Elephas maximus indicus: one gene and its partners. The protein of the gene in region 1 interacts with the protein of each later gene in a pairwise test. Links are inferred from orthologs where the notes say so. Each region holds a gene or a part of one and is shown in the gene's direction. Other genes may lie near its edges.

Region 1 (7,007 bases):
TAGGCACTGGGGATGCAGCAGTGAAGAAAACACTGTTTTAACGGAGCTTACATTCTAGTGAGGGGAGACAGACAGGGCCTACTTGGTGTATTCAAGAAACAGCTGGAATGGGGGGGGGTATGGAATGGAAGGGTAGAGGGTGCCATAGAGGAAATAACAGAGGTCAGAAGATGTAGAGAACAGAGGCCAGAGTAAATAAGAACTTTGCCTTTTACTCTGAGAGATTTAGGGATCATTGGAGGGTTTTTTGCCTTTTACTCTGAGCCATTTAGGGATCACTGGAGGGCTTTGAGTGCCAGAGTGACTTGATGGACACTTGGACAGGGTCACTCTGTCTTCTGTGTTGAGAATAGAGAGACGAGGACAAGAGGAGCTGCAGGGAGACCAGTGAGGAGGTTATTGCAGTAACCCAGGTGAGAGAGATGGGGCTCGGACCAGGGTTTTAGCAGCACAAGTGGTAGGAAGTAGGTTCTGGACTCTGAAAAGATTTGCTGATGGATTTGTAGCTGCAGAGTGTGAGAAAGAGTCCAAAAGGACTCCTTTTTAAGCCTGAGCTACTCACTGGAAGGAGGGGGTTGCCATTAACTGTGTAAGGGGAGAATATGGGAGGAGCAGACTCTGAGGCAGGGCTGAATTCACTTGGGCTATCTTGAAAGAAACTGGTTTTTATCCTGAAAGGGGAAATTTCAAGAGTTAGAGATCAGAGTGAGGCTGAGACACAGAGGCAAGTGGGCAAGGCTAAGTCACAGTACATTTAGGTATAAGCATTCACTCATTCATTGAATATTTATTGGAACCAACCACTTTTAATGTGCCAGAGACACAAAGATAAATAAGACATCTTTCCTGTCCTGAAGAAACTCACAGTCCATTGAGAGAAACAGAAATATAAATAAGCAATTCCAGTACATTTCACCATCACAGTTGAGCTATTCAACATTTCCTGAGTCCCTGCTCTATGCCAAGCAGTGTGAAGAGGAAGCAGGCAGTTTGTACAAAGTTCTACAAGAGTACACAAGAAACTGCCTCCAAAGATTTGTGAAGGTATTCACAAGAGTTCATCACAGTGTGGCACTGGGGAGTTGGCAGCAACCTAAATGCCCGTCACCAGGGAAATGTGTAAGTAAAATCTATGGAATACTCAGCAGCAGGTAGAAGCAACAACCTAGGGGTACACCCAGCAATGTGGAGACAGCTCAAAAACATAGTGTTGAGTGAGAAAAGTGGGAACCAGAGATTTACAGTCCAATAACATTTCTGTAAGTGTAAAGGCATACAGAAAATACTGCGCATCTTAAATTATCAAGTATCATAGCAAACAAATTGCAATGGGTGCCTAGAAGAATGAGAGTGGGGATTGAGGGAGATGAGAAAAAGTAATATAAATAATATAAACACTATAAAATACCTTAAACATGAGAAGGGCCTTGAAGGGACTCATGATGACAATGTGCTGAGAATTGAGGTGCAAAGCAACTTCACTCTCTGCACCTGAGGTAAAATAACTAGCTCACAGAAATCCAGCTAACAGTGCTAAGGGATAGTGCTAAGGGTAAGTATTGCTGGGGGACAGGAAGCATGTGGCTCGAGCAGTAAAGGTGGTTGTGGAGGGCTGATATCTTGAAAGCACTGGGTAACTTGAGCAACACTCTACACATGGAAGGTATAATTATTCTAATCTACTCTGATCCAGTCCAGCCTATGGCGAGAATCTCTATTGGAGTCTTCCCATCTTGTGACTCCTCCAGAGACTCTTCTAGTCCAAGGGGTCATTCCGGTTTACTATGGCCTCAAGGAGTGTGGCCTCTGAGCTGCTGCCTTAGAGCTAGGACTGCACCAGCTCTGATGCTGCTGCTCTGGCTGGGGGTGGGGTGGGAAGGGAACGGGGCCTCAATGATGCCTCTCATTCTGGGGCATCTGTCTGGGGCAGTTCATGCTACTTCCCCCAACTCAGTGCTGCCCATCTGTCAGTTAACTCTGGCCCCTCACATTCCAGCTTGAGTCATTTCCCCTTCGCCAAACACACCTTCCTCTCCCCACACTAGGTCATGTCTCATCATTATTATAGGTGCACTTATTTGATGGCAATGGGTTTGGCTTTTTTGGTTTGGTTATTCTTCATAGCCCTTATCACAGCTGCAACTCTACATTTACTTTTCCGATAATTTATGCCCATCAACGGTAATGTGCTTGACTGATAACCAAAAGGTTGGTGGTTCAAACCCATCCAGAGGTGCCATGGAAGAACCCAAACCAAAACCCACTGCTGTCAAGTCGATTCTGACTCATAGCAACCCTGTAGGACAGAGTAGAACTACTATGGGGTTTCCAAGGAGCGGCTGGTGGATTCCAACTGCCGACCTTTTGGTTAGCAGCCAAGCTCTTAACTACTGTACTACCAGGGCTTCCCATGGAAGGCCTGGAAACTTGCTTCCAAAAGATCACAGCCTTGAAAACTCTATAGAACAGTTCTACTCTGCAAAACATGGGGCTGCCATGAGTTGGAGTCAACTCAATGGTAACTGGTTTGGTTTTTGGTTTTTAGGACTGTAGGTTTCAAGTTCGATGTTGGCCGTTTTGCTTTTGTTTGTTTTTGCTCACTCATGTATTGCCAGCACATGAGTTATTGTTGTTAGGTGCCCTCCAGTCAATTTCGACTTATAGCACCCCATGTGACCAAGCAGACCTGTCCCACAGGGTTTTGACTATAATCTTTACGGGAACAGATCATCAGTTCTTTCTCCTGAAGAGCCGATCCACCAAGTGGGTTTGAGCTGCCGACCTTTTGGGTAGCCCTAGTGCTTAACATTCAACCACCAGAGCTTCCTTGGCACATGGTAAACAAAAAATCAAACCCGTTGAGGTAGAGTTGATTCCGACTCATAGCGACCCTATAGGTGCAGTTGGGCTGCTAATCAAAAGGTCATCAGTTCAAATCCGCCAACCCACCTTGGAAACTCTATGGGGCAGTTCTACTCTGTCTTAGACGGTCGCTACGAGCTTTGGCACATGGTAGGCACTCAATAAACTTTTCAGTTGAATACAAGCACCCCAGACAAGGGGAACACAGGCCCAGGAGGATACAGCATGGTGCAGAGGCAGAGATGAGAAAGATTTGGGTTTTGTTTACCATAGAGAGTAAAGTGAGTTGCAAGGAAATGGGTCGTGCAAGGCCCCTGTAGGCAGATCGCCTGTCTGCTACGCACATGCCCACCTACCCTCTTGGTACAGGGTGGCACACAGTAGGGGCAGATATGAGCTGTAGAGAAATGAACAAGTGCTTAACTTTTTTTTATACTTATGTCAAGTAAAAGTATGAAACTGAATTGACCGAAAGGGAACATGTGGGTTAGTCTCGGGTCTGAGGGAAAGCTAAAATTTCCAGAGATGCCAACACAATCCATTGCCCCTCAAGGGACTTGGGATGTATCTCCTACTCTGCCTAGAATGTCATGGTGTGGGTGGGCGCTCTTCTCCCTGTCTGCCTCTAAGGGTCACATTAGCCTGGATGAACTGGTTGTTACTGTTACTAAAGTCTCCTCCAATCTAATTCACCTTTATCCTTGTCTCCCACTCCACCTCCAGCTCAATAAGCCTTTGCTCCGCTTTAAAAAAACAACAACAACAAAAAAAATAAACCACCACCTCCCACCCTGAGCAGCCTGGCCTCAGATGACTGAATGCAGGCGATCGCTACGGGAGGCCCTTTCCCACGCCTCCTCTCACCCTCTCCAGTGACAGGCTCCCTGGTCATCGCTGGGCTTTGCGAAGCGACGCGACCCGTCACTGCCCTTCCCGCCTTCCCGCGCTGGGCCATCCCCCGCACACGCCGAGCCCGCGCGCCCGTCGTCGGGCCTGGCGCCCCAGCCGGTTCCCCACAGCGCGCATGCGCGCGCTCCAGAGGCCGCGGGGAAGGGAAGGGCGGGGCCGAGGGGCCGAGCCGGCGGGGGGAGGGGCGGCGCGGGTCACGTGACGCGGCTTCAGTGTTTACACGCGGAGCGGCCCGGCGTTCAGCGTTCGGCCTCAGTCAGGCGCTCCGCTCCGTTTCGGTTTCACTTCCGGTGAGGGGCCGCCTTGGAGCGGGCAGCGAGCCGACGGCGAGCGCAGGCGGTGGCGGTGACGGCGGCGCCGCTGCCGGGGGGCGTGCGGGAGCGCGGCGGCGGCGGCGGCGGCTGGGCCTCGAGCGCCTGCAGCCCACCTCCCGGGGGCGGGCTCCCGGCGCGAGCAGGGGCGACGAGAAGATGGAGGAGCTGGTGGTGGAGGTGCGAGGCTCCAATGGCGCTTTCTACAAGGTACTCGGCTCTGGGCAGGCCCCATCTCTTCCCTTCCTTCCCTCGCTTTTCTTCGCGGCCTCGGCGGGAGGCAGGCCTGGGGCCGGGCCGGCGCGCTCGGCTGGAGGTGTGGGGAAGGACGGGCGCCGGGCCTTCGGGAAGCCCCCCGAGCCTTCGAGAGCCCCCGGCGCCCGTGGGGAGGAGACACGGGCGAGGAGAAGGGGCGCCCACCCCGGCCAAGCCCCGGCGCGGCAGGCTGGGGATGGGCGAGGGCGGCGGCAGGTAGAGCCAGGCGGGAAGGGCCGGAATCGGCGCGCGGGGACGGCGACAGCCGCTTCCTCCGTCCCCTTGCTCCGTCGCCCAGCTCCCCGCCCGTGGGCTCCGGCCTGACGTGGGGGAGCTGCGGAGGAGCGGGGGGCGCCTTCGGCGGGCCGCCGCCTGTCCGGCCCAGAGGTTTTCAGGTCCCCTTTGGCGTCGCCTTCTGGTCCAGGATTGGGACTTCGAAGAGCGCCGCTGTTCTGGGCGAGGTGTGAAGACAGAGTAGTAAGAAGTGGTCGTCAGTCCCAAATCACGGTGGTAACTGGGTTTACTGCTCTCTCTCTTTGTGCATTTTTACAAGAGCCTCCAAAGTTCCAGAAAGAGCCTAACATATCTGGGCAATCGGTGCATTAAAGAAGTTGGTAATTCTTCTCCTTCGGCCCCCCTCCCTTTTTTTAACGTGGGTAAATTCTGGAATACAGCATCTAAAAAACATTAGCAACTCTACTACTCACTTTAAAATTTTTTTTCGTTTTTTTTAAACTCCCCAAAGACCTGAATATATGCCTCATGAAACTTGAGAAAATTAATTGGGACTGTCTTATTACTGAGGAATTTTAAGAACGGAGTGTTTGGAAATGTTTGCTTTGTGCTCTAAGTATAGGTATTTGCCTCTCTTCTCTTTGGATGTGTAATGTTGCAGAGGACTGTGTTGTAGGGGTTTTGAATAGGCATTAATAGTCCTACTGTGGGTTTTTATTTTTGAAGTTACATCATTGCACATCAACAAATATCTTACATTTGAGAAAAACAGAATTAAAAGCAATGTTTTGGTGGATCAGTAGGGGGTTTGTTAGTTCATATTTACTACAGTAATCTATGAATTTTTGTTTCCTCTTCAATGTCTGTATAACTTCTGTAAGTAAGATCCCACCTTACTAGAGTATTTTGTCAACAGAAGGTGCACATGGAAGGAAGCATGGAAAATAGCTATGGCCATTGTCCAACACAATTGTTAAAGTATTACGGAGTAACTAACGTTTCAAAGGGACATGTTTGGCTATAAGAAAAGCAATCATTGACTCAACTACTTAACAGACTATAAGCTTACCAATTTTATCGCAACATTTGGGGATGAGTATGTTTCATAAAAGACTAAAGAATGTAAATTGTTCCACTAAGAATGATAAAACCTTTTGCTGTACAAGGAAGTGAAAATTAACTCAGCATTTTTTATTCTTCACCGTCTCACCAATATAAAATTGTTAACAGTTGATTCTGCAGTCAAAATTGTGGATGCATTTATTTCAGCAATTCATAATTTCTAATGGTTTGTGTAGAATAGTTCTGGTTCTTAGATTTGTAGTTTTAGTCACTATTTTTGTGGATCTAACTATAGTATACATGACCAGGTACTAATGGTTGAGCAGTATTTTAACTGATTTTTTTTTTTTTTATAATATCAGCTTATATTGGACACCACCCTTATGTCTTTTAGGAGAGTTTGCTTGCCATAGAGGGCAAGTAGCACATCCTGGTCTTGAAGGATTTATTGTTCTTTTCCAGCAACACATGATTTGCTCCAGTGATTTTGCTTGCAAACCGATAGGAATATAAGAAATGCCCCCTATCATTGCCATTAAGCTCCCTTTTTGTTTTTGTTTTTTAACCAAGTGGCTTAATTTGAAGGTGACTTAAAAAAAAAAAAAAGAACCAATTGTTCCTTAGCTCTTTGAGAGGAGAAGAGAAGTTGCTGTTATGTTTATTTAATTAAGGTTTCTTTTTAAGAAAATCTCAACTGATCTGTATTGGTGAAAAAAGAGTTTCTGTAATGAAAAAAGTTTAGCTGTTTATTTAGCTCATAATATTGCTGTGAGTTATAAAAGAGCAACAAAGTAAACTGAATTGCTTGTCGTTAATGTCTGGTGGGATGGACATGAAAAATAGGAAATAAGACCAATCAAAAATGAACTGCTGTAGAGAAATATGTTGCATTTATTAAAAAAAAGGAACCTTGTTCATTGAATTGATAAAAAAAAAAAACTAAACAAATGAAATAACTTCTTTATAATTGAACACAGACTTTGATTTGCCTAACAGAGCCACCATATTGCAAAGTACAGTTCTCCATCTTCTGAGCACATGCTCCAAGTTTGCAAATAAAAACTCAGTACTGAGTATATGCTGGTAACAGTTTTATTCTTTCTCTAGAACATAGCTGAAGCTCAGGATTTAGAATTAACCATGAACCCTAAACCCTAAGATTGCAATAGTTCACTTCTACTTTTCCTCTCATGTTTATTCTTAAAAATTTGAAAGTTAGATTAGTAATTATCAGAGCCACTGTTTTTATTGCTTAGATATTTCTTTCACATTGAGTCAGTTACATGTACCACTTATAGAACCTTGCGTTATTTTAAGACGTGAAACACTTTGAATTATAACTCACAAAATCTTTATAAAGCATTTTCTAAATGA
Region 2 (7,997 bases), on another chromosome or scaffold:
GGCCTTCTCCAAGGAGGTGATACTGGAGTAGAGATTTGGGTGAGGTGAGAGAGTGAGCATAGCTGGGGAAGAGTGTTCCAGGCGGAGGGAACTGCAAGAGTAAAGGCCCAGAGGTGGGAACATTCTGGCATGTTCTAGGACCAGTAAGAGGCCCTGAAACAGAAAGTGAACGGGCTAAAGGAGGAATCAGGCTGAGCTCTTGGAGGACTTTAGGGGAATGTCATGACCTGAGTTACACTTTAAAACAAGCTCTTGGGCTTTTAGGATACTCATTTTACACAGAGACCAAGGCTCGGAGAGGTCGATGTTCCCAGGGTCACACAGCTGGTGGGTCCAGCTGCCACCTGAGCCAATGCTCTGTCCAGCGACCCTATGAGCTCCCCATGAGTTCACAATCGTGAGCTTTCCCACTGGGCTCTTACTCAATGCTTTGAAGTGGGGGAGTTAGCCTGCTTGGGCAGATAAGAAGGCTGGCTCACTTGTTCACGACCACAGACCAGAAGGCATAGGGGTCCGAGGGTGGGGTCTGGGTCAGACACCTCAGGTCCAAAATCTGGCCCTCCCATGAATTTGCTGGGAGATGTTGCAGAACTTTCAGAGCCTCAGTCTCCTCATCTGTGAAGTAGGGGTAATGATGACACATGATTTGGCCCCTGCTGACCTCTTCTCGCAGCCCCCTCCACCTCCTCGGTGTGCTCCAGCCAGCCCGGCCTTTCCTGGAAGGTATGAAGGTGTCAGGTCATACCTGCTGAAGGAACACACTTCCCAGGTCTTTGTAAGCTGGTGTTCTCACAGAGGTCTCTGGTCACCTGGTCAGAGAAGCCCTTTCTGACCACCACATCTAAAAGCCCCCTAGTCCCATCACCTTCTTACCCCCCTTTACGTATTCATAATTCTCGTTACCAGCTGAAAGTCGCCCATTTCTTTGTTTCCCAGCTTATTGCCTACCTCCTCCCAGTCACAAGCTCTGTGAGGGTAGAACTTTGCCCGTCTTGTTCCCTGCTGTGCTCATGGCCCAGATATAGTAGGGGCTCAATAAATATTTATCGATGACTGAATAAGTGAATGAACAGGACCCACCTGTGAGGGCTGTTGTGAAGTCTACCTGAGGTAATGAATGGAAACTGCTTAACACATTGCCTGGTATATAGTAATTGCTCCATAAGTGTTACCTGCTATTATTGTCATCGTTACGAACTCTTTGAAAATTTTTATTTATTTTGTTGTTGTTGAGAATATGCCCAGCAAAACATACACCAATTCAACCGTTTCTACATGTACAATTCAGCGACACTGATGACATTCTCCGACTTGTGCAACCATTCTTGTTCTCCTTCTCTGAGTTGTTCCTCCCCCATTAACATAAACTCACTGCCCCCCTGAGGTTCCTGTCTAATCTTTCATGTTGTTGTTGTCAATTAGATCCCATATAGATAGATCTTTAACGAGCATAAGGCCCAAGGCAGACATTCTTTACTAGTTAAGCTAAATTATTGTTTGGTTTGAAGAAGACTTCAGGGGATATTTTTGGTTTAAGGTTTAAAGATTATCTCCGGGGAATAGTTTCAGGAATTCATCCAGCCTCCATGGCTCCAGAAAGTCTAGATTCCATAAGAATTTGAAATCCTGTTCTAAAATTTCCCCCTTTTGATCTGGATTCTTCTATAGACTCTCATGACGATCTCTTGACTTTAAAGCCCATGCTCTAAACTTCTCTGCTGATGATGAATTGAACCAAATTCCATCATCCCACCCTTGGTCTCTTGACCTTTACAGGGGCCTTTGATGCCAGACAGTGACTCAAGTAGTATTTCAGGCCCTGTGCTGGGGTTGCAGCAGCGGCTGAGGGCAGGCAGGTCAGTCACAGTGTGGTATGCACATGACCAGCCTCACCCACCGCCCACAGCCTGCAAAGACTCATGGTCTCCTCAACCAGCCCCAAGCTGGGAGGGGACGAGATAGTGACAGGAGTGCAAAGGGCGGGACTCGCCTTGCTGTTCTGGGATTCTAGGAGAGGCTTCTCCCAATGACCACTGGGTGGCAGCACTTCCCCGGAAATAAGAGGCTGGGAAAGCATTTTCAGCGTTGACTGTGAGACTGAGAGCGGAACTCTCTGAAAGGACCCAGGCCCAGTGGGGGCACAGCTAGGACTTGCCTGGGCCACACAGCTTCCAGTGGCAGGGCCTGGGCTTCCTGTGAGGTCACCTGCCTGCCTTGGACAGGCTCCAGAGCAGCAGCAGGGGAGAAGGAAAATCAAGCTCGGAGATTGAAGGTTTGAGGACTAGCCAGAGCCTTCTGGAATGTTGTCACCCCAACTTTGACCCCCCAGAATCCTACCCATCCTGAGGAAAGTGCTCAAACAGTCCTCTCTGAGGCCCCTCCTGACCGGTGACTCTGGCTGAGGTGGTGGTTCACTCTCTCCCACCAGCCACTTGTTAGTCTTCAACCATGCCTGTCAGCTCTGCAAACTGTGATCCCCTGAGGACAGAGACTATGCTTTGTCCCCCCCAAACCCCCACTGCCTGTCACGGGAAGTCTTTGCACCAGCTGTGCCCTCTGCCTCTGTCTCCCTTCCCCTCTTCTTGGCCCGTGTACCAGTAGCTGAGATGTCACTTCTTCCAGGAAGCCTTCTCTGGCCTTTGGCCTGGGCAGGAGCCCACCTCTGGGCCCACACAACACGCTGGACACCCTCCTGGACAGTGAGGACCCTGGGGAAGGATTCTTGGGGCGCTCAAATAGACCCACCCTGAGTCTGCACACTGTACCTCTGGGCCCCGGACACAGAGGTCCTCAGCCTGCAGGGGGCATGAAGTCACCTTTAGAGCTTTGTGAAAACACAGCCTCCTCCAAAGTCCCATCTCCAGAGACTGCTCCAATAGGTCTGAGAGGGAGTCTGGGAATCTGCATTAAAGATGCCTTCAGATGTGTCTGAGGCAGGGGCCCCAGCACACTAAGGCCCTCAAACCGTGCCATGGGCTTTGCCTTCGGAAGTGGTTGGGCAAAATAATGAAAATGAAAAATGACAGTGTCATGGATTGAGTTGTGTCTCCCCCAAATATCCGTCAACTTAGCTGGGCCATGATTCTCAGTATTGTGTGATTGCCACCATTTTATGTGATTTTCCTATATGTTGTAAATCCTATCATTATGATGTAATAAGATGATTAGCGGCAGTTATACTGATGAGGTCTACAGGATTAGTGTCTTAAGCCAATCTTTTTTGAGATATAAAAGAGAGAAGTGAGCAGAGAGACAGGAGTGCCTTACACCACCAAGAGAGAAGCGCTGGGAGCAGAACGCATCCTTTGGACCTGAGGTTCCTGCACCAAGATGCTCCCAGACCCGGGGAAGGAAAGGATATTCCTCCTGAGCCGACAGAGAGAGAAAGCCTTCTCCTAGAGCCAGTGGCCTGAAGTTGGACTTCTAGCCTACTGGACTGTGAGAGAATAAACTTGTCTTTGTTAAAGCCATCCACTTGTGGCACTTCTGTTACAGCAGCACTAGATGACTAAGACAGACAGTAGCAACCGCAACCATCTGTGCCATGTGAACCACTCACGCAACTCTTTCACCCCCGTTTCTCTTTTTTCTCTTCATCTTTATAAATACCATCGTGGGAGGGACCATTAGCCTCGCTCTACGGACACCTGAGGCTCAGAGGCAAAGGGCGACTTGCCCAAGATTCCCAGCTACAAAACGGCAGAGCCCAAGCTTGAGCTCAGGTTGTCCTGGGGTGGAAGAGCCACAATGCATGTTAAAGCATCTGGGGTGGAAGATGCTGCTTTTTTGAAAATAGAAATTCTGGCCTAAACACAGGGCTCAGTGGTTCCAGCCCTGTGGAGGGAGCCCAGTGTTCCAGCCCCAGCCCTGCCATTAGCCACCTGTTTCAAGAGGGGTAGCTGCTTCTCTGAGCCTCAGTTTCTTTACCTGAAAACTGTGGTTGACAATACTTGTTCTCCCCTCCCAGGGGCGCAGGGAACTTTAAACTTAAAGTCCTGTGAAAGGGATCTGAACTGCAGAGAGGCACAGATCTGCTGAGACCTGCATTAGCTCCCCAAGGAGGGAGAGGCCGGGACTTCCACCAGGCTTGGGGTACATGGGTAATCATCCTCCTCCATCTCCCCTTCCTCCACAGCCCCTGGGACAGCTAGGGAAGGAAGGTGGGCAGGCCTGGCCCCCATGCTCCTTGAATGAGGTGGACGCCAGGGCTGGGAGAGCCAACCTCCTCCAGGAAACTCGTTTTACACAACAGCAGTGGCAGAAGAGGTTGGCAGGGACATGAGATTCGGACTCCTCAGCTGGGAAGTACTGATGGCGTTTCCTGATCCACAGGTAAATGGGGGCTGTGACCCTCGCTGGGCCCCCAGGGAACTGCTCCTCAGCACTAAGGAAGGAGATGAGGGTATGAGGAGTCTTTCACCAAATACCATGGTCTGGAACTGGAGAGGATGATAGAAAGCCTCTACCTCCATGTCCTTAGTTTATATATGGGGAAACTGAGGCATGTAAAGGGAAGGTAACTTAACTTGTCTGATTTGTCCTTAATAGCAGACCCGCTGAATACAGGTCTCCTGACTCCCAGTTTAGTGTCTCGTTCTTAAAGGACACTGGACTGGGCGGCTGGTGTCTCAGGCTCAAGTTCACCTTTGGGTGGCACTGAACAAAATCACTTCCCCTCTCTGGAACTCAGTTTCCTGCTGTGAAAGTAGAGCTGAGATTTCAAAGCGTCCTTCCAGTTGACACTCGAGTAAAGGCGTCACCAGGCTTGGTCTAGGCCCGGGTGCTGAAAATGTGAAAAGGAGGGTCTCAGGGTTTGTAGTGCACTGAACTTCGTCCGAGAGCCCCCGCCCAGAGATGCTTTCGTTGCCACGGCAACCGTCCGGACAGCGTGGTCCCCTGCGTTCCGCTGAGGAACCTGGGAAGAACCCTGCCCTTACCAAGATGGCGGCGGCGACAGGGCAGGGGGCGGGGCTAAGCGCAGTCAGCTCCTCCAGACCTTTTCTCTGTTCCGCTTCTTCAAACCAACATCGAGCTCCCGTCCATACTTGTTCTCTTTCCTGGTTCTGGAAGCCCCTGGAGCCAGAGACGGAAAGGCTGCCTGCAGGGATTGGGGCGAGTACCTCAGGGAGAGGGAAGGCGGGACTTCCGCGTCTCACCGGAAGTGACGCGACAGTCGCGGCCGCCGACAGGTGGAACGGCAGGTAGGTTCAGGTGCCAGCCTGGCAGGGTCCCGGCTGTGGGACCGACGCTTTCGGTGAGCGACAGAGGCGGCCCCCAAGGCCCTGGAGACCCGTTGGGCGGGCTTTGGAATTTGAGCCTTTCATCCTGGCCTGGAGCTCCTCTCTGTACCTAGTAAGAATCACCGCCACCCCCAGCCAGGACCCTCCATCGTGAGGCTCTCCCAGGTCTCCCAAATCTGCGGGGCTGGGTTTGGCATGCAGGCACTTCGGTTCCTTAAACCCTACCCTCCTTTCTCTCCCGGATCCAGTTTCCTTTTCCCCTACCGAGGTTTGCAGTTAGCCAGCCCATCCCAACTCTCGGAACCATGTTTGCAGACTTGGATTATGACATCGAGGAGGATAAACTGTGAGTATTTTGTTCCCCCAAGTCCTGGGAGTGCTCTGAGGGAGCGGCGGGTCCCTCAGATTCCTGGACTTCTCGGTTCCACAAATTCTTGCTCCCCTGCGGTGGGTCAGGACTTGTGCTGAAACAGAAACAGACCCTGCCCTCCAGGAGCTCACCATCTGTAGGGGTCTGTGGACACATTGGCAGCTACAGCTCAGGGCTGAAAGGGCCCTGATGGAGAGTGACCTGGCTTCGAGGAGAGCCGTGCGGATGGAGCAGTGTTTCTGCCGGGGTGTTCAGGGAAGGCTTTACGGAGGCTTGAGCTGAGTTTTGAAGAATAAATAGAAATGTCATAGCCATACCTTCCTTCCCAATCTAGACAATTAGTGGGACAGAGTTTTAAAACTTAGGTTTGTCTCTGCATTAGAATATATACTCCATGAGAGCAAGGGCTGGGCCCAATTAATGCCTTTCTGTGTCCTCAGCCCCAGTGGCATCACTAGGGTTGGTGTCACCCAGTGCGGTAACTCATGATGTCACCCCTCCATGGACCTTCTCCCATACCAGTCCATACAGAATCCTTAGCAATGTTTTTTTGTACTGATGTTACTCCTAAATTGTGATTTCCGTATATCACTCTTTCTTTTCCTTTAATTACTACTTCATTCTCAAAAAAAGTTACTGATAATAGGTTCACAAATAGTAATTACCACAATATTGTAGCTAGAACACCAGAAAACTTGACAATATCAGTGACTGTAAAAACACCAGTAGCAACAAAAACAACAGCGCGTTCTTGTAGCGCATGCAGACAAAACCACGTGGTTCAGAGTGTCATTGTAATTGGGTAATAATGACAGCTCTGACCGCAGGGCACTAGACAGTTCAAAAAATGAATTAGCATAGAGTTTTAGCCTTATGGGTATATCGATACATGGAAGCTGGGCCTACGAAAAAAGGTTTTTGTTGTTGTAACTGCAGGGATATTTTTATAAAACGTAATAAGTTTCTGCTGAAACACTGCATAACAATTTTATAGACAGTCATTTTGGTGTCACCCCCTCTGACAGTGTTACCCAGTGTGGTCTGCACCTCCTGCACCACCCTAGTGATGCCACTGCTCAGTACTTAGTAAGGTGCTTGACATCATAGGGCGTTAGCAAATGTTTTTGAATGAATAGGTGAATAAATGAGAATATTTACCATGAAACATAAATAAGTGCTAATATATAGTAAAAACTGAGATGTAGAGTAATTGAGCAGATGGGAAGTGGGTGGTTGAACAGGGGAGGGCTTCCCAGAGGAGGTGGCCATACTGTCCCATATGTGCCTAGGAAGGTGACAAGGACAGAGTCTGAGTAAAATCTCAGAGAATGAAGAAATGGGAAGGGGAACCACTTTTTATGGGGTGCCTGCTATGTGCTGGGTTGGGGTTAAGTATCTTCCATGCACTTCTTCACAATAACTCTGATAATAAGGTGGTCTTATTCCCATTTTATGGATGAGGAAACTGAGATGCAGAGAGGGTGACTTACCCATATCACATAGCTGATAAATGGTACATCTATGATTTCATTGCACATCGGCATGACTCCAAAAGCTGTGCACTTTCCAAAACAAAATGCTGCCTTTCTGGTCAAGTGAGGCAGAGCAAAGGTTATGTAACAGTTGGAGCCTCTCGGGGGTTTTGGAGGACCCACCCCCTGCCCTGTGTCTTCCAGTCATCCTTCTTCCAGGAGATGCAGCCTTGCTCTTCTTTTTCCAGTGGAATCCCTACCGTGCCTGGGAAGGTGACCCTGCAGAAGGATGCCCAGAACCTCATCGGGATCAGCATTGGAGGAGGGGCCCAGTACTGCCCCTGCCTCTATATCGTCCAGGTATTGGGCACTTTGGAGGTGGGGCGAGGTCCTGGAAAGGGTGAGTACCTCCTTGCTTGGCTATGATGGAGGCAGGTTCATTTCTGCACCCTGCATACATAGCTGGCTCCTCAGTCTTCAGGTAGCGGGCTTGAACAAGTGAATAAATGAAAAGTGTCCTCCTTAGAGAGGCCTGCCCTCTCAGTAGGTCTGCCCTTGTTTTTCTCTATCTTTGCCATCTGTGCTTTTTTTTTGTCAGCATTTATCACTGTCTGTAATCATGGGTTGGTTTGCCACTTGTTCTAGACCTGGCTGTTCTCCAGAGTCTTTGCAGTATGAAGACAGGGTCCCTGTGTTGCTCGTTTGCTGTGGTCAGCACCTAATGCAGTGGACATGCAATAAAAATGGCTTTAATGAATCTATGAAACCTTTGGCCTTGGGTACGAACTCAAGCGAAGTGTAGTGGATAGATCTTGAAATAAGAATGGCCTGAGTTCTAATGTAAGCTCCTCTGCTTACTAGCAAGTTGGTTAGCCTGTCTGTCCCTCAGTTTCCTCACCTGAAAGATGGGAATGT
Region 3 (7,821 bases), on another chromosome or scaffold:
TCTTTATACACCTAAAAAGTAACACTATTTTCCCAGTTGCGTCACTGGCGGAATGCAGGCCATGTGACCCCCAGTGGATGACACTGTCAGAGGGAGTGACACCAAAATGACTGTCTATAAAATTTTCATGCAGTGATTCAGCAGAAATTTATAATTTTCTAATAAAAATATCCATGTAGTTAGCTATAACAGCAAAAACATTTTTCACAAGCCCAGCTTACGTGTATCGATATACCTACAAGGCTAAAACTCTATGCTAATTTACTTTTTAACCTTCTAATGTGCTGTGGTCAGAGATGTCATTTTATCCAGTTACACTGACACTTCGACTTATGTGGTTTCATCTGCACATCCCACAGGCTCGCGTTGTTGTTTTCGTTGCTGCCGATATTTTTATAGTCGCTGATTTTGTCAAATTTTCTGGTGTTTTAGCTATAAAACAGTGTTGTGGTGATTAGTATTTATGAACCTAATTCAATACCTTTTTTGAGAATAAATTATTAATTCAAGGGAAAGAAGGAGAAAATAAACATTAGAACCAAAAACAGTACTAAAGACAGGAGATCCATTGGGCTGGGAGCGGGATCAGGGGTGGGGACGTGTGACACCATGAGTTACTGCACTGAGTGACACCAACCCTAGTGATGCCACTGCCATTTCCTTAATATTATCAAATATCTGATCATTGTTAAGTTTTTTTACTCCGTTATTTTTATGGTTGGTTGTTTGAGATAGAATCCAAATAAGGTCAACGCATTGTGACAGTCTGTTTAGTCTCTTATAGCCTATAGCTTCTCCCTTCATCTCTCTTGTTCTCTTGCTCTGTGTTTTTTGTTTTTTGCAATTTATTCGTTGAAGGTACTGAGTCATTTGTCTAGTAGTTTCCCATAGATTGTAATTTACTGATTGTATCACTGTGGTCCTTTGTTTCCTGTGAACTGGTATTGTTGGGGATTGAATTATGTCCCCCCAAAAATGTGTGTATCACCTTGGTTAGGCCATGATTCCCAGTATTGTGTGGTTGTCCTCCATTTTGTGATTGTCATTTTATGTTATGAGGATTAAGGTGGGATTGTAATACCACCCGTACTAAGGTCACCTCCCTGAGCCAAGGTAAAGGGAGTTTCCCTGGGGTGTGGCCTGCACCACCTTTTACCTCTCAGGAGATAAAAGGAAAGGGAAGCAAGCAGAGAGTTGGGGACCTCATACCACAAAGAAAACAGCACCAAGAGCAGAGCACTTCCTCTCCACCCAGGGTTCCTGTGCCTGAGAAGCTCCTCCACCAGGGGAAGATTAAGGACAAGGACTTTTCCCCAGAGCCGACAGAGAAAGTCTTCCCCTGGAGCCGACGCTCTGAATTTGGACTTGTAACCTACTAGACTGTGAGAAAATAAATTCCTCTTTGTTAAAGCCATCCACTTGTGGTATTTCTGTTATAGCAGTACTAGATGACTACGACAAGTATCAAAGGCTGAATAGATTAAGGTATTTTGTTTTGGGTCTAGACTTCTTCATAAGGTGGTGATATACTTTTCCATTAGGAGACAATGTGTTATTGTCTCTCATTTAGTGATGTTAGCAGTTGTTGATGATTGATGCCTACATCCATTTGTTCATCAGGGGATTGGATTTTCTTGGAGGGGGGAGAAAAATACTTTTATGGTGAGAAACATCCCTTTCTTCTACAACTTGGTTATCCAGTGGTACTGTTTGTATAGGAAAGGCAAGTTAAATATTGGTTCACAAGCATTTTCCAACAGTAACCAAGTAATAAAGACCAAGTTTTTATTGTCATGATCACACAGATTTAAGCATATTTGATACTGTTTCAGTCCATTGTAGTTATTTTGCTAGTTGATGCTCAGATTGTCCCATCTTTGGTCAGTGGAAGCCTCCCCAGGTTGGCTTCAGGGTCCCTTTGATTCACCCTAGTAGTCTTAAATTAATAGCTTCTTTGCTTTCTGGTATGACAAGATTTTCTTGACTTTTATACATGTTCTGTCCCAGACCTAGAGAAAGCCAACTCTTCAGTGAGCACTGATTCCAAATGATATTTGGATATGACATTCTGGGCACCAAGGGTGCCCATTGCTCTTGGGTTGGGCATTGTTTCTAGGCCTTTTCAGTGGACAGAGTTTTTGTTATGTTTTATGGTAGAAAGATACATAACAAAACGTACGCCTTCTTTATTTTTTATTAAAACGTGTAAGTTCTTACTAATGCTTCAAATCCATGTTCAGGACTATTAGGTTTTTACTTAGTCTCCTCAGTCTTACATACGTATCTCCTTTATCCTGTGTCAAGGATGCCAGTACTTCATGCCAGGAAATGATAGAATTAGAACATTCCATAATTACTAATTTTCTTTACCGGACAATAAATCCTCATATTCTCACAGCAACAGTACCTCAATATAATTACGGAAAACAACTTAAGCTATATATTTACAAGTCCTTTGTCGTCTCTAGAGTATATCCCACTAAGGATGTGCAGTCAAATTAATGAATTTTAAAATTACTTGGGATGGTTTCTTTCTGTGTGGTTATGCCGCCAACCAGATAGACCTTTAGGTTCATTTGTTTTGGAGATTACTTTGTAAATTTAAATTTTATTTACATGGTTTTAAAGGCAAATCTATAAAACCAGATATATTAAAAGAATTCTAGTTTCTATCCTTGTCCCTTTAACTGTATTCCTTCCCATTCCTTTCTCCTCTCACCGTAGGTAACCAATCTTTAAAATTACATGGTTTATCCTTTCATTGTTTGCTTTTTAAATATAAGATATATGTGTGTGCATCTCCTCCTTTTTATATAAATTGTAGCATACTATACATTGCATGTCCAAGAGCTTACTGCATCACTGCATGTAGAGTGTCATCTGTCTTCGGTGCCGCCTGCTGCTTCATCGTATAGACGTACCATGGTTTATTCAGCCAGATGTGTGCATGGTTTCCAGTCTGTGGCCATTGCAGATGGTGCTGCAGTGACTACCTTGTACAGACATCTTTTTGCCAGTGTGTCTTTGGGATAGATTCCTAGAAGTGGGATTGCTGATCAAAGGGTAAAATGCTTATGAAAGTTTGCTAGATACTACCTGTCTTAGTTATCTAATGCTGCTATAACAGGAATACCACAAGTGGGTGGCTTTAACAAACGGAAATTTTTCTCTTAGTCTAGGAGGCTAGAAGTCCGAATTCAGGGTTCCAGCTCCAGTGAAAGACTTTGTCTCAGTAGGCTCTGGAGAAAGGTCCTTGTCATCGATCTTCTGCTGCTCTAGGAGCCTCTCGGTGCAGGGAGCACAGGTCTGAAGGATGGACTGTGCTCCTGGCACTACTTTCTTGGTGGTCATGAGGTCCCCTTGTCTCTCTGCTCACCTTTCTCTTTTCTATCTCAAAAGAGATTGACTCAAGATACAACCTAATCATATAGATTGACTCCTGCCTCATTAACATAACTGCCTGTAATCCTGCCTCATTAACATCATAGAGGTAGGATTTACAACACATAGGAAGATCATATCAGATGACAAAGTGACGGATAGTCACACAATGCTGGAAATCATGGCCTAACCAAGTTGACACACATTTTTGAGGGGCACAGTTCAATCCACAGCACTACCAAATTTCCTTCCATAGTGGCTGCGCCATTTTGCATCCCCACTAGCATTGTATAGGACGGCCTGTTTCTCCACTGCCTCAGCAACAACGTGTGTTGTCAAACTTTGGATTTTTGCTAGTCCAGTAGGTGAGAAACAGTATCTCTGTGTAGTTTAATCTGAATTTCTCTTATTACGAACAAGGTTGGAAGCTTTTTAAAAACACAGTCGTCAGAGTCCTATGGATGAAGCCCAGACATTTAATGCGAAGAAGCTGAGCATGTGCATCTCTGCCATAAGCAGACAGGAGAAGCACTAATGTATCATCTTTCAAACACTTAGCACAGAGCCTGATACAGGATAAACCTCCAGTCATGTGTCTGGTATCACAAGTGAGGCTGAACATTGGGGCAGAAGTACAGGGTCATGAATATGACCACAGACTTTGGAGCTGAACAAACCTGGTTCTATTTTCAGCTCCACGACTTGCCAGCACTTGACCTTGTGAAATTACTTAAATTCTGAACTTCTGTTTGCGCATCTGTAACATGGGGATAATAATAGTACCTCCTTTTATAGGGTTTTCATGCGAGATTATAATCGTCAAGTGCTTGGCATGGTGTCTGACACAGAGTAAGGCTGAAGAAATGATAGTTTTATTATTATTTGAATTAATAAAGGAAATTATTAGGCCTTTGGTGGTTATAGATTTGAATCATTACTGATTGCTGTCGAGTCGATTCCTACTCATAGCGACCCTATAGGACAGAGTGGAACTGCCCCGTAGAGTTTCCAAGGAGTGCCTGGTGGATTTGAACTGCCAGCCTTTTGGTTAGCAGCTGTAGCTCTTAACCACTATGCCATAGGGTTTCCTTTGAATTAATATGCCCTGTAAAATCATTAACCCTTCTGTAAAATGGACTTAACATTAATGTAAGAAAGAAGGCAATCTTTTATGGATTGGCAAATGGTTTTGCTGTGGAGCTGAATGTCACACTTAGGATTCTGAGGAGAGAAGAGAACAAAGAAAGAGGGGGAGGTGCAGATGGGGACCTGAAACCATCCCTGTGAGGACTGATGCCCCAGAGGGCAGAGGGGGAAGTCACTTCTGAGCTGGGTATTCCCTCATTGCACGTGGCTTTCACCATTACCATAGTACGTGACAGGAAGATGTGTTTGAGAACTCAGTGAAGTGTGTGAGCTGCTCAGCGGTGGGTGAAGGTTGTCTTTCTTCCTAGTTCAGCCCCCATCTGCCCTCCCAACCTTGGGTCTAAAGAAAATATTAGTTTAGTGATAGCACGACCTTGGTATACTCTGCAGCTGTTTCAACTCTCTGCAGCCCAGGTTCACATGTCAGTTGTTCATGCCTCCTCTGGCCTGACGCCTCGTTTCCTTTGAGCAAAGCAAGCTGACATCCAAGCAAGAAACTTCAACCCTTAAGTATGTCTCCTGCCTCCCTGGGATTGGCATGGGAGGGAGGAGTTCCCGCAATAGAAAGATGAGTCTTCTCGGTTTCCTCCTTACTCACACATGCTAAAGGGTTAGCTTTTCTTTTTAATTAATCTTTTTTAGAAACTCAATTTTTAACATTGGTGTCCACCGCTACTGCCGTTTGTTTGGTTTTGCTTTGCTTTTTTTGTTTCACTTATTTCTGCTTTTCTAATTATTCCTGTATTCTCATTTTCTTGTGTTGATTTTTTTTAATTCTCTTTTTTTTTTAGATTTTTGAATGGAAAATTAGGTTCATTTAATTCCATTTTTCTTATTTTCCAATAAATATATTTATTAGTGCTTTATCTTTCAGTTCAAAATATTTTATAATTCCCATTTGAATTTCTCTTTAGCCATCAATAACTTTGAAGTGTTTTATAAGTTTTCAACAGAATGGATTTTTTTTTGCTTCATTTTGCATTATTGATTTCTAATTTCATTGTGTCGTTATCTTTGACTGTGACTTGTTGGATATCATATTTAGGGGAACTTGTGGCAACTTGTTCTAAGGCCTAAATCACAATCAGTTTCTATCAGTGTTTCCTGTGTGTTTTTTTTAAAAAAAACAAAGATGGATAAGCTGTTCGCTGGGTGCTGAGTTCTTAAAATAGCAATTGGCTTGAGTTGGTAGCAGTGCTTTTCAGATCCTCTGCATCTTCACTGCCTGGCAAATATGTTGTTCTCAAAGCAGCTGCACTCTGCTGGGTCCAAGACAAAAAATGTCCCCTTAGGGCTTATTTGTTTGATGTGGCACACGAAACATACCAGGGCCAAGGGAGATGAGGGCTCTTCCATCTTTGCAAACAAGGTCGATTTGCTGGAGCCTGAATTCTTTTAGTCCCGGCTTATTTGCCTTTGGATGGTGTAAACTGGCTGCTAACCAAAAGTTGGAGGTTCAGGTCTAGCCAGAGGCACCTTGGAAGCAATGCCTGGTGATGTACTTTCAAAAAAATCAGCCTATGGGGCACAGTTCTCCCGTCACATACATGGAGTCACCAGGAGTCCAAATTGACGCCGCTGCAACTGGTGGCTTAATTAGCCTATGAAGCCTAGGCTCTGGTTTCAAGTTGTTGGTTATCTTGGCTGTTGAAATCGTGAATATCTGTGCTGTGCTTTAATTTAAAAGTGGAATGGTAAATATCCTTATGAAGAGCAAAAGGCGGGGACTGACTGGCCTGGTGTCAGGCATTATTTTAGGTCATTTACCTTTGGTTACTGTGGTTGTATGGGTATTACATAACTTCTCTGAGCCTTGTTTCTTTATGAGTTCTTTGAATATAATACTTCCCACTCACCCTGTTGATCATAGCGGGTTGTTGAGTCTAAGCTGAAATAATAGGCATACAAGTACTCTGTAAACTGTAAAAAAAAAAAAGTTACGGTCAAGTTGACTGACTCGTGGTGAACCCATGTGTGTCAGAATAGAACTGTGCTCTGTAGGGTTTTCAGTGGCTGACTTTTCAGAATTAGATCACTGGGCTTTTCTTCTGAGGAGCCTCTGGGTGGACTTGAACCTCCAACCTTCCGGTTAGCAGCTGTGTGTGTTAACCATTTGCATCACCTAGGGACTTCATAAACTGTAAAGAAATCCTCAAATATATAAGGTGCAGGTTGAGGGCACCAGCCATCCCTAGAGCATGGTTCTGAAGAAGTAGCAAGTGGAAGTGATCTTAATGCATGTTAGCCCCCTTTATCCCACGGAAAGTGTCTGCACTGGGTGGGGTTGGATGAAATGTTTAGAGCCCCCTGAAATCCTCTGTTGCCCTTCTCTTCCTTTCCCTCAGTGCGGAATAGGGAAGCTGCAGCCATGACGACTCACGTCACCCTGGAAGATGCCCTGTCCAACGTGGACCTGCTGGAAGAGCTGCCCCTCCCTGACCAGCAGCCATGCATCGAGCCTCCGCCCTCCTCCATCATGTACCAGGTAAGTTCTCCTGGCCCTGCCTGGAAATAGTGCATGGGCCTCAGGACTCTGGGGATCCCCTAAGAGGGTTTGCCCTGCAGACAGAGGGAAGGGGGAGGTCTGCTTCTGGAAGGTGAAAGGTTGAGAGCTGATGGAGTTCCTTGCACCCTTCTTGGAGCTGAATGTAAGGAATAGATTAGCTAGTAAATGTTCACCAAGACTATTTCCCTTCCCCAGGGAAGGCTTGTTGAACTGCACTGACCCCAAATACCTTCCTGGTTGTTCTTGCCGCTGCACCAACCAAGCTTTTGGCAGCGCTGACCTCATGAATTAAATATTGCAGTTTAGAAATCCCCAGAGCCTGCCTGGGTAATTACTCCTCCTTCATGTGTGTGAAAAGAACTCTATAACTGCCTACAGCAGGTAATGGCTCAGGGAGGCTGATCACAGTTGTTTGCTTTTGCCTACGAGAGGAAAGCTTGTGATAAACAACAATGGAATTTCTCAGATGGTGATCCCGTCAGGGCTTGGTGGGGAAGGGCACCAGCGGGGCTGGAGTTAGCCTTATACAGAGCCCCTTGTCGGGGTGTGCGAGGAGAGTATGCCACGTTAATAGAGAACTCGTTAATTTGACATTTTCGGCTGTGTTTGACCTTTTGAAAGTTCTTGGACTACTAAATGAGACTAAATATAAGACTTATTTTTAATTTCGTCCAGTGGTTAAATGTAGTTATTAAACACATGCCTGAAGCCTCAGCTAACATCAGTTAAATTTTTAATTATGCTTTTGTATTACAAGCAGTACAGAAAAGTGTAACTTTAACAAATAA
Region 4 (7,433 bases), on another chromosome or scaffold:
AGCATATGGTAGACATATTTATGTCAAAGAGTTAACCTGATAATAAATGTACTATTCTGTACCTGAATATATCAAGAATCGAAATGATCTATTCTGGTTTCTGACTAAGAACTACTACTTAAAAAAGTATCCTTACTGGCATCACCATTTTCTTTTCAAGATGACTCTGCAAGCAGAAACAAAATTACAGTGATGCTAGGTTTTACTGTTCACCAACAGAGAGACACAGAAGAGAAAGAGTCACACCAGGAAGGGGATGCCGGGAAAGTGGTAAGGGTCTCGGGCCCCCTCCCAGAGTGACTTAGTCTCACTTTACATCTCAACAAAATGACAAATAACTGCATGATGGATGGTGTCACATAGACACGACTGTCTATGTTGATCCTGACAAGTGATGCTTCAAGTCTATTACCATAGCTTGCCATAGCTCCTAAGCCTGAATATTTTTCAGGATCTCCAAAATATTTCTTAAAAAAAAAAAAAAGGATCCCTGGGCCCTTTCCCCAGATTCCGATTCAACTGGTCTCGAGTGGGACCTGGATATACGATTTTCCCAGGTATGCCACTCATTCAATAGTAATAATGAAAATTTAAAAATAGTAAATATAAGAAAAATAACACGTTTTGAGTTCCTATGTGCTATGTACTCTTTAAGAAATTTAGGTGCATTAATCTACTTACTCCTCACACCAACTTTATTAAGGAGATGTTATTATTTGCATTTTACGGATGAAGAAACTGAGGCACAGAAAGGATAACTAAGTTGTCCATCTTCACACACTAAATAGTGAAGCTGAGATAGTTTGGTATCTGAGCTTTTACCCTTAACTGTTAAACTACTCAACATTCAACAAACAGTTCACACCCATCCTCCAACAAACATTTATGGACTAAACGCTTCTTGAGAAACAAACATAAAAAGAAGCAAATAAGATCAATTCCAGAAAACAGGGATAAGGTAACTGTAGATATGTGGGAGGGTAGCTTTAAAAACAGCAGTCAGGGAAGGAGTCTCTGAGAAGATGGCATTTGAATGGTGACGCGCATGATGAGATGACAGTGGCCATGCGACAGTCTGAGGAAAGAACATTCCAGAGAAAGGAACCAAAACCCACTGCCGTCGAGTCAATTCTGACTCATAGCGACCCTAAAGGACAGAGGAGGACTGCCCTATAGGGTTTCCAAGGCATAATCTTTACAGAAGCAGACTGCTACATCTTTCTCCTGCCTAGTGGCTGGAGGGTTTGAAGAGCTGAGCTTTTGGTTAGCAGCCAAGGGCTTAACCACTGCACCTAGAGAGAGGAACGGCCAGTGTAAAAGTCCTATGGGGGAACAAGCTTGATGTGCTTGAGGGACAAAAATGCCAGTGTGGCTGAAGCAAAGTAAGCAAAGAAGATGAAGGTGCCTGGTACAAAGGGGCTAGCATGTACACTTCGGAGTCAGATTCCTTGGCTTTGAATTCCAGCTCAGCCATGTATTAGCTGTGTGATTTGGATAAGTTATTTAACCTGTGCTATTTTCTTCCTCTCTAAAATGAGGTTGATAATAATTCCAACCTTATATAGTTGTTGTGAAGATTACATAAGCTAAGACATGCATTTAGCACAGTATCTGGCATACACTATGCACTCAAGAAATGCTGTAACAGGCTAGAACAGTTTGGATATTATTTAATTACAACAGGCAGTCATTGGAGGTTTTAAGTAGGGAGAGACATGATCTGAATTACCTTTAAAAAGAAATGCTTGTGGACAATAGACATAGGGGTCAGGAGTAGGGGAGCTGAGTTAGAAGCTAATATAAAGTGGTTAAATTTGCAACAAATTTTGAAGGAAGAGCAAATAGTACCTGCTAGTCATCTGGATGGGAGCGATGAGACAAAAAGAGGAGCTAAGGAAGACTCTTAGGTTCCTGGCATGATTGGCAAGCCAGAGGGATGGTAACACCATTCTCTAATATGGTGAAGGCTAGGAGTGGGAGAAGATTTGGGGGGAAGTCAAGAGCTTTGTTTTCACATCTTAAGTACAAAAGCACACAAAATCGAATCTGTGCTGCTATTAAGTCAGGACAATGGTTACCCTTTGGTTGCAGGGGTGGGTGGAGAGGCAAACAGTAACCGGATAGTGGTCCAAGGGGAGCCTCTATGGCTGCTAATGTTCTATTTCTTGATCCTGATGCTGGTATCACAGGTATCTTCATTTGATGAAATTTTATCAATCTTTAAATTTTTTATATGTATACTTTTTTGTATGTTTACTGTACTTCATAAAAAGGTTTAAAAAATGCAATTTCACCAGAAGCCACAAAAGTTAAAAAAAAAAAAAAAATGGAGAATATTGTTACCAATAAACTTCTTAAAAGCCCAGAATACACTAATGTGAATAAAAGAATAATGTGGAAAAAAATGATATCTGCAGAATTTTAGGGATCTGTTTTAGATGAAACATCTGGGAGGTTATAATGTGAATGGAATTATAGCATAGAGGATTATGTGCTAAAAATGGCCAACTTTGTGCAAGATATTGTGCTTGGTGAAACAGGGAAGTCTTTCAACAAATATCTACCAAAGAGCTTTTATGTGCTAGGCACTGACCTGAGTTGAAGTAAACACTCCTTTCAGGTAGAAGGAGATACACATATGTCTACAGGCACAATGTGTTAAGTGCTTAAAGAATTAAAAAAAATAAAAAAAAGTAAACTGATAAAAGTGAGTCATAATAGAAGTATCTATTTGGGAGATGGTGGTTCGTTTAAAATCAGAAAATACGGTGAACCAGAAACAACATACACATAGGAACCCAGCCACAAAACTTGGTTAACTACATTTTTCTTCAGCCTTAGTTGAATGGAACCTTCCTTGCTAAAAGAAAAATCTATCGCCCTGGAGTTGATTCCGACTCACAGAAACCCTACAGGACAGAGTAGAGCTGCTCCATAGAGTATCCAAGGCTGTAATCTTTACAGAAGCAGGCTGTCACATCGTTCTCCCGCAAAGTGGCTGGTGGCTTTGAACCACTGACCTTTCCATTAGCAGCCAAGCTCTTTAACCACTATGCGACAGGGCATGGCATTTCAATGGCTATAACAGAAATGAGACCTGGAAGGAAAACCTCTAGGTAAAACATGGCCTAGGGGTAATCAAAGCACAAACATTAGATCCAGAAACAGAAAGATGACTCTTTCAGTTTACTTTTCTCCAACTATAGTGCCAATCTCAATCTACTATTTAGAACAAACATAGATATACTTGGAGGAGTCTAAGAAGCATTTCTTTGGCAAGTACCAAATGCCTACTATGTGTTTAGGTTGGAATTCCACAGTGCAGTGGTGGAGACAGATATGCTAACAAATAATTCAAATACAATGCATTAAATATGTGATGGAATTAAGTAGGGAAAACCTATGGGCAAAGAGGAAGGTGTGACAATGCTTGGGAGGGTTTGGAAAGGCTTCATTAAGATGACACCCAAGTTGGAGGTCTTGAAGGATGAGTAGGAATTTGTCAGGTGTGTAACGAAGTGCAGGAGAATAAGGGCAGAAGGAGCCTAGAGCACTGAGGAACTGTACAGAAACGTGGTCTGGCTTGAACACTGAGCGCGCACGCGTGTGTGACATAAAAACAAAATGAGAGGTTAGGAAAACGGGGTTGGGGCTAGAGAGCCAAGAGTCTTCTGGGAAAGCCAAGAGTCTCGTCCTCAGAAGGCAATAAATACGGCACAGAGGTTAGGAGCACAGGCTCCACTGTTCCAATTCGGGCTCCACCACTTACTAGCTGTGTGATCTGGGCACCCGTTGGATCCTTGGTTTCTCTGTTTGTAACATGGGAATGACAATAATTTTTACCTAGTTCCCGAAAGTATTAAATTATTGAACATGTGTCGACCGTTCAGTACAGCGTCCGGCTCATATTAAGCGCTAAATGAAAATACATCATCGTTATGATTACCAGGCCAAAGCTCGCGCAACGCACCCTACTTTCTGAGGAGGCCCCCACGACCACCTCCCTACTGCTAGGGCTTGGGAGGGAAAGTTGGCTGCGCTCACTCCCAGCGGCTCCGTCCTCCCACTCAGGCCTCTCCTCAGAGAGCCAGCCCCGGCCAGAGAGGTGGTGGACAGGCCTGGCGGGCAGGGGACACGCCGCCGCTTACCCGGGCTCGGGTCCCTCTCCTCGTCCTCCGCTGTCCCGCGGGCGTTGAAGCCGGGCGGGAGCGCCGGCCCGATCAGGTCTCTCGCCATCCGCGGTGGCAGGAGCTAATCACGCACACAAATCTGTTCGCGCGGAATGAAACCCACCCAAAAGGCAGCCCGCGATCCGTCACCGATGCCGGAAGTTTTTCCGGCGCTGACAAATGACGTTTCGATTTGTGGTTGGCTGTGCCGTATAATACAAGATAACGGAAGTGACGCTAAAAGCTTGTTCCGCATTCGCCTGCAAGAGTTTCCACCTGGTGGGTCGCATGGCTGAATCCGCGAGCGGTTTCGTGACTCCGTCGGGATGGATTCCACCCCCCGAGTTGACTCCCACGTTGGGGCCTCTGAATAACACTACCCCGATGCGGGACAACTGGATGCTCTGGGCAATGATGCCGCCGCCGCCACCTCCGTCGTCTCATCCTACACCCGGATCAGGGCTTTCCTCGGAGTCACAGCCCTCCCGGGAGGTCCAGGCGCTCCCCGGGGTGCCGCCCCCCTTCGACGCCCAGCTTCTTCCCGGGGCGCAGCCCCCCTTCGACGCCCAGTCCCCTCTTGATTCTCAGCCTCAACTCAACGTCCAGCCTTTCTGGAATTACCAGGCTTCGACATCGTGGTACTGGAGACAGCCTCCTGATGATACTTTTCCTAAGCATCAGAAGTCCCACAACTCTTCTGGTAGGCTGTTTTTCCTTGTGGTATCACCCCTTTCTTCTCTCTCCCATTTCTCCATTTTCTCTCTCTACATCTGGTTCTTCTCTGCACTCTTGGAGTCTGGTCATTAGTGTCCCATACCGTGTACGACTGGTATGTTTTTCCCGCTTGTTCATTTACTGTAGCAGATTTGTATTGAGTTCTCACTATGTACCAGTAACTGGAAACAGCAGTGGACAGAACATACAAAAATCCTTGTTTGTGGAGCGTAACAGCTCCCTAGTGTGGGAAGACAGACAATAATCAAAATATTTACGTTGTGTATTAGAAGATGAAAAGTGTTCTTTTTTTGGAAAGAGGTGAAGCAGTAAAGAATGATAGGTAGAGCGAATTTAAATAGGCTGGTCATAGAAGGCCTCATAAGGAAGGCAACATTTGAGCAAAGACTTCAGGGATCAGAGCCACAGATATATGGGGGGGGGGGGGGAGGCATATAGGCAAGTGCAGAAGCCTTGGGGCAAATGCTGTAAAACAGAATGGATAAGATCAATCTGACTAGAAAGAACAGAATTCGTGGTAGAATTGTAGAAGATGAAGAAAGAGGGCTGACCTTGAAGGGCCTTGTAGACCATTAATGGAACTTTGACTTATACTCTTGTGAGATGGGTAGCCATTGATAGGTTTTGTGGAAAAGAGTGACATGATTTGATTTATGTAGTAGAAGGATTAATCTGGCTGGTGTGATAGGAACTGAGTGTAAGGGAGATTGGCAAGATCGTTAAAATTACCCAAGCGAGAGATAGGACCAGGATAGAGCTCTGGAGGTAATGAGAAGTAGTCAGATTGCAGATATATTTGGAAGGTAGGGCCAACATGATTTGCTAAAGGATTAAATGAGGAGTGTGAGATAAAGAAGAGGCAAGGATGACTTAAGGTATTTTGCCAGACAAAAAAGGAACTGAGATGGGGAAGGATATGGATGGAACAGATTTGGAAGGGTAGGCCAGGAGTTGAGTTTGGAATATGTTAGCGCCAAGAAGAGCTACATGTAGACTGTTAGCTATGAGTCCGTACTTTCAATGGAGATGTGTGTGGCACTATAAATTTGGGCATCATCAGCATATAGATGATATTTAAAGCCATGTGCTAGTTAATTCTGCATGAGGTTCAATTTAGGCTAAGTGGAATTCAAATGTGTACTTAATTGATATCATACTGTATGCCAAATGGTGGAGATATGAGTGGGACTAAGACAGTCCAAAGACAGGTGATAAAGTTTCATAAATACAAATCACAATGCAGTGCGACTGGTGATACCAAACCAAACCCATTGTTGTCGAGTTGATTCCGACGCACAGTGACCCTATAGGGCGGAATAGAGCTGCCCCATAGGGTTTCCAGGGAGTGGCTGGTGGATTCGAACTGCCGACCTTTTGGTTAGCAGCCAAGCCGTTAACCACTGTGCCACCAGGGCTCCTGACTGGTGACAGAGGCACGTAAAAGATGATTTCAGAGTGCAGAGGAAATTGGGGAAAGCTTTTGCAGGAAGTGTCTTAGGAGCTGTGTAGGATCTGGAGGATGTACTTTCTCTGCGGAGGCAAACAGTTGTCAGTACAAGGTGGGCTCTGTAGATTGCAGTGTTCTAGTGTGACTGAGATGGCAGTGATGCCAGTGGTCATGCTAGAAGTCTTACCTCCCATGCAGGGGACCTGGGTTTGATGCCCAGCCAATGAACCTCAAGTGCAAGCAACCACTTGTCTGTCAGTGGAGGTTTGTGTGTTGCTGTGATGCCGATCAGGTTTCAGCTGAGCTTCCAGACTAAGACAGATTAGGAAGAAAGGCCTGGCCATCTACATTCAAAACTCAGCCAGTGAAAACCCTATGGATCACAGTGGCCTGCCGAATCTGCAACCCATTGTGGGGGTGGTGTAGGACTGGACAGCGTTTTGTTCTGTTGTGTACGGGGTTGCCGTGAACGAGGGGTGGGGACAACTCAAAGGCAGCTAACGAGTGTGATTGCATCGGATTATGTAGTGGTGGGGTGCGGGGGCGGGGATGTGTAAGGGAGGGTGAGAAAATGAACTGGAATCTCAATGAAGGACTCAAGGAAGCTATTTGCAGATTTTTGAACAGGGCAGTGACATGATTGGAGACTATTTTTGTGGTGTTGGTCTACAGGGTCAGTTGAAGAGGAAAGGCTTAAGAACTGGAAGACAGTCTAGGAAGTTATAATAGTAATCTAGGTGAAAGATCAGAGTTTCTGAGTTGGATGATGGCAGTGATAATGGAAAGAGGCAGTGGGATTTGAGAGAAGATGTGTTTTACAAGGCTGTGTTTTCTTGATATTAGATTGATGCTGGAATAACTGTATCAGGGATTTCATTTTAATATTTGAAATAACTGCAAGGAATTTCATTTGGTAAGATTATCCATTTCTGTACTTAGAGATACCTAAATCCATTCCACTGCTGTTGAGTTGATTCCGACTCATAGTGACCCCATAGTGTTCCCAAGGCTGTAAATCTGTGGAAGCAGACTGCCACAACTTTCTCCTGAAAAGCTGCTGATGGAGCCTGAGACCAGAAGAA

The links.
Region 2: the proteins of FMR1 (region 1) and PICK1 interact in a two-hybrid assay, tested with the Homo sapiens proteins (2 studies listed by BioGRID and IntAct). The link is inferred for Elephas maximus indicus from reciprocal best matches to the Homo sapiens genes FMR1 and PICK1.
Region 3: the proteins of FMR1 (region 1) and CYFIP2 interact in a two-hybrid assay, tested with the Homo sapiens proteins (2 studies listed by BioGRID and IntAct). The link is inferred for Elephas maximus indicus from reciprocal best matches to the Homo sapiens genes FMR1 and CYFIP2.
Region 4: the proteins of FMR1 (region 1) and NUFIP1 interact in a two-hybrid assay, tested with the Homo sapiens proteins (2 studies listed by BioGRID). The link is inferred for Elephas maximus indicus from reciprocal best matches to the Homo sapiens genes FMR1 and NUFIP1.

Annotation. Positions count from the first base shown.
Region 1 is NC_064846.1:8,487,209-8,494,215, reverse strand, and holds the start of FMR1 (fragile X messenger ribonucleoprotein 1), read left to right. Parts: upstream 1-3,991; 5' UTR 3,992-4,241; coding exon 4,242-4,292; intron 4,293-7,007.
Region 2 is NC_064822.1:181,955,919-181,963,915, forward strand, and holds the start of PICK1 (PRKCA-binding protein), read left to right. Parts: upstream 1-4,989; 5' UTR 4,990-5,201; intron 5,202-5,208; exon of another isoform or gene 5,209-5,352; intron 5,353-5,488; 5' UTR 5,489-5,545; coding exon 5,546-5,586; intron 5,587-7,330; coding exon 7,331-7,442; intron 7,443-7,997. UniProt on the Homo sapiens protein: Probable adapter protein that bind to and organize the subcellular localization of a variety of membrane proteins containing some PDZ recognition sequence.
Region 3 is NC_064820.1:173,776,370-173,784,190, forward strand, and holds the start of CYFIP2 (cytoplasmic FMR1-interacting protein 2), read left to right. Parts: upstream 1-4,812; 5' UTR 4,813-5,036; coding exon 5,037-5,037; intron 5,038-6,872; coding exon 6,873-7,012; intron 7,013-7,821. UniProt on the Homo sapiens protein: Involved in T-cell adhesion and p53/TP53-dependent induction of apoptosis. Does not bind RNA. As component of the WAVE1 complex, required for BDNF-NTRK2 endocytic trafficking and signaling from early endosomes.
Region 4 is NC_064832.1:35,299,913-35,307,345, forward strand, and holds the start of NUFIP1 (FMR1-interacting protein NUFIP1), read left to right. Parts: upstream 1-4,433; 5' UTR 4,434-4,457; coding exon 4,458-4,869; intron 4,870-7,433. Other genes in the region: GPALPP1 (GPALPP motifs-containing protein 1), read right to left, coding at 4,149-4,236. UniProt on the Homo sapiens protein: Binds RNA.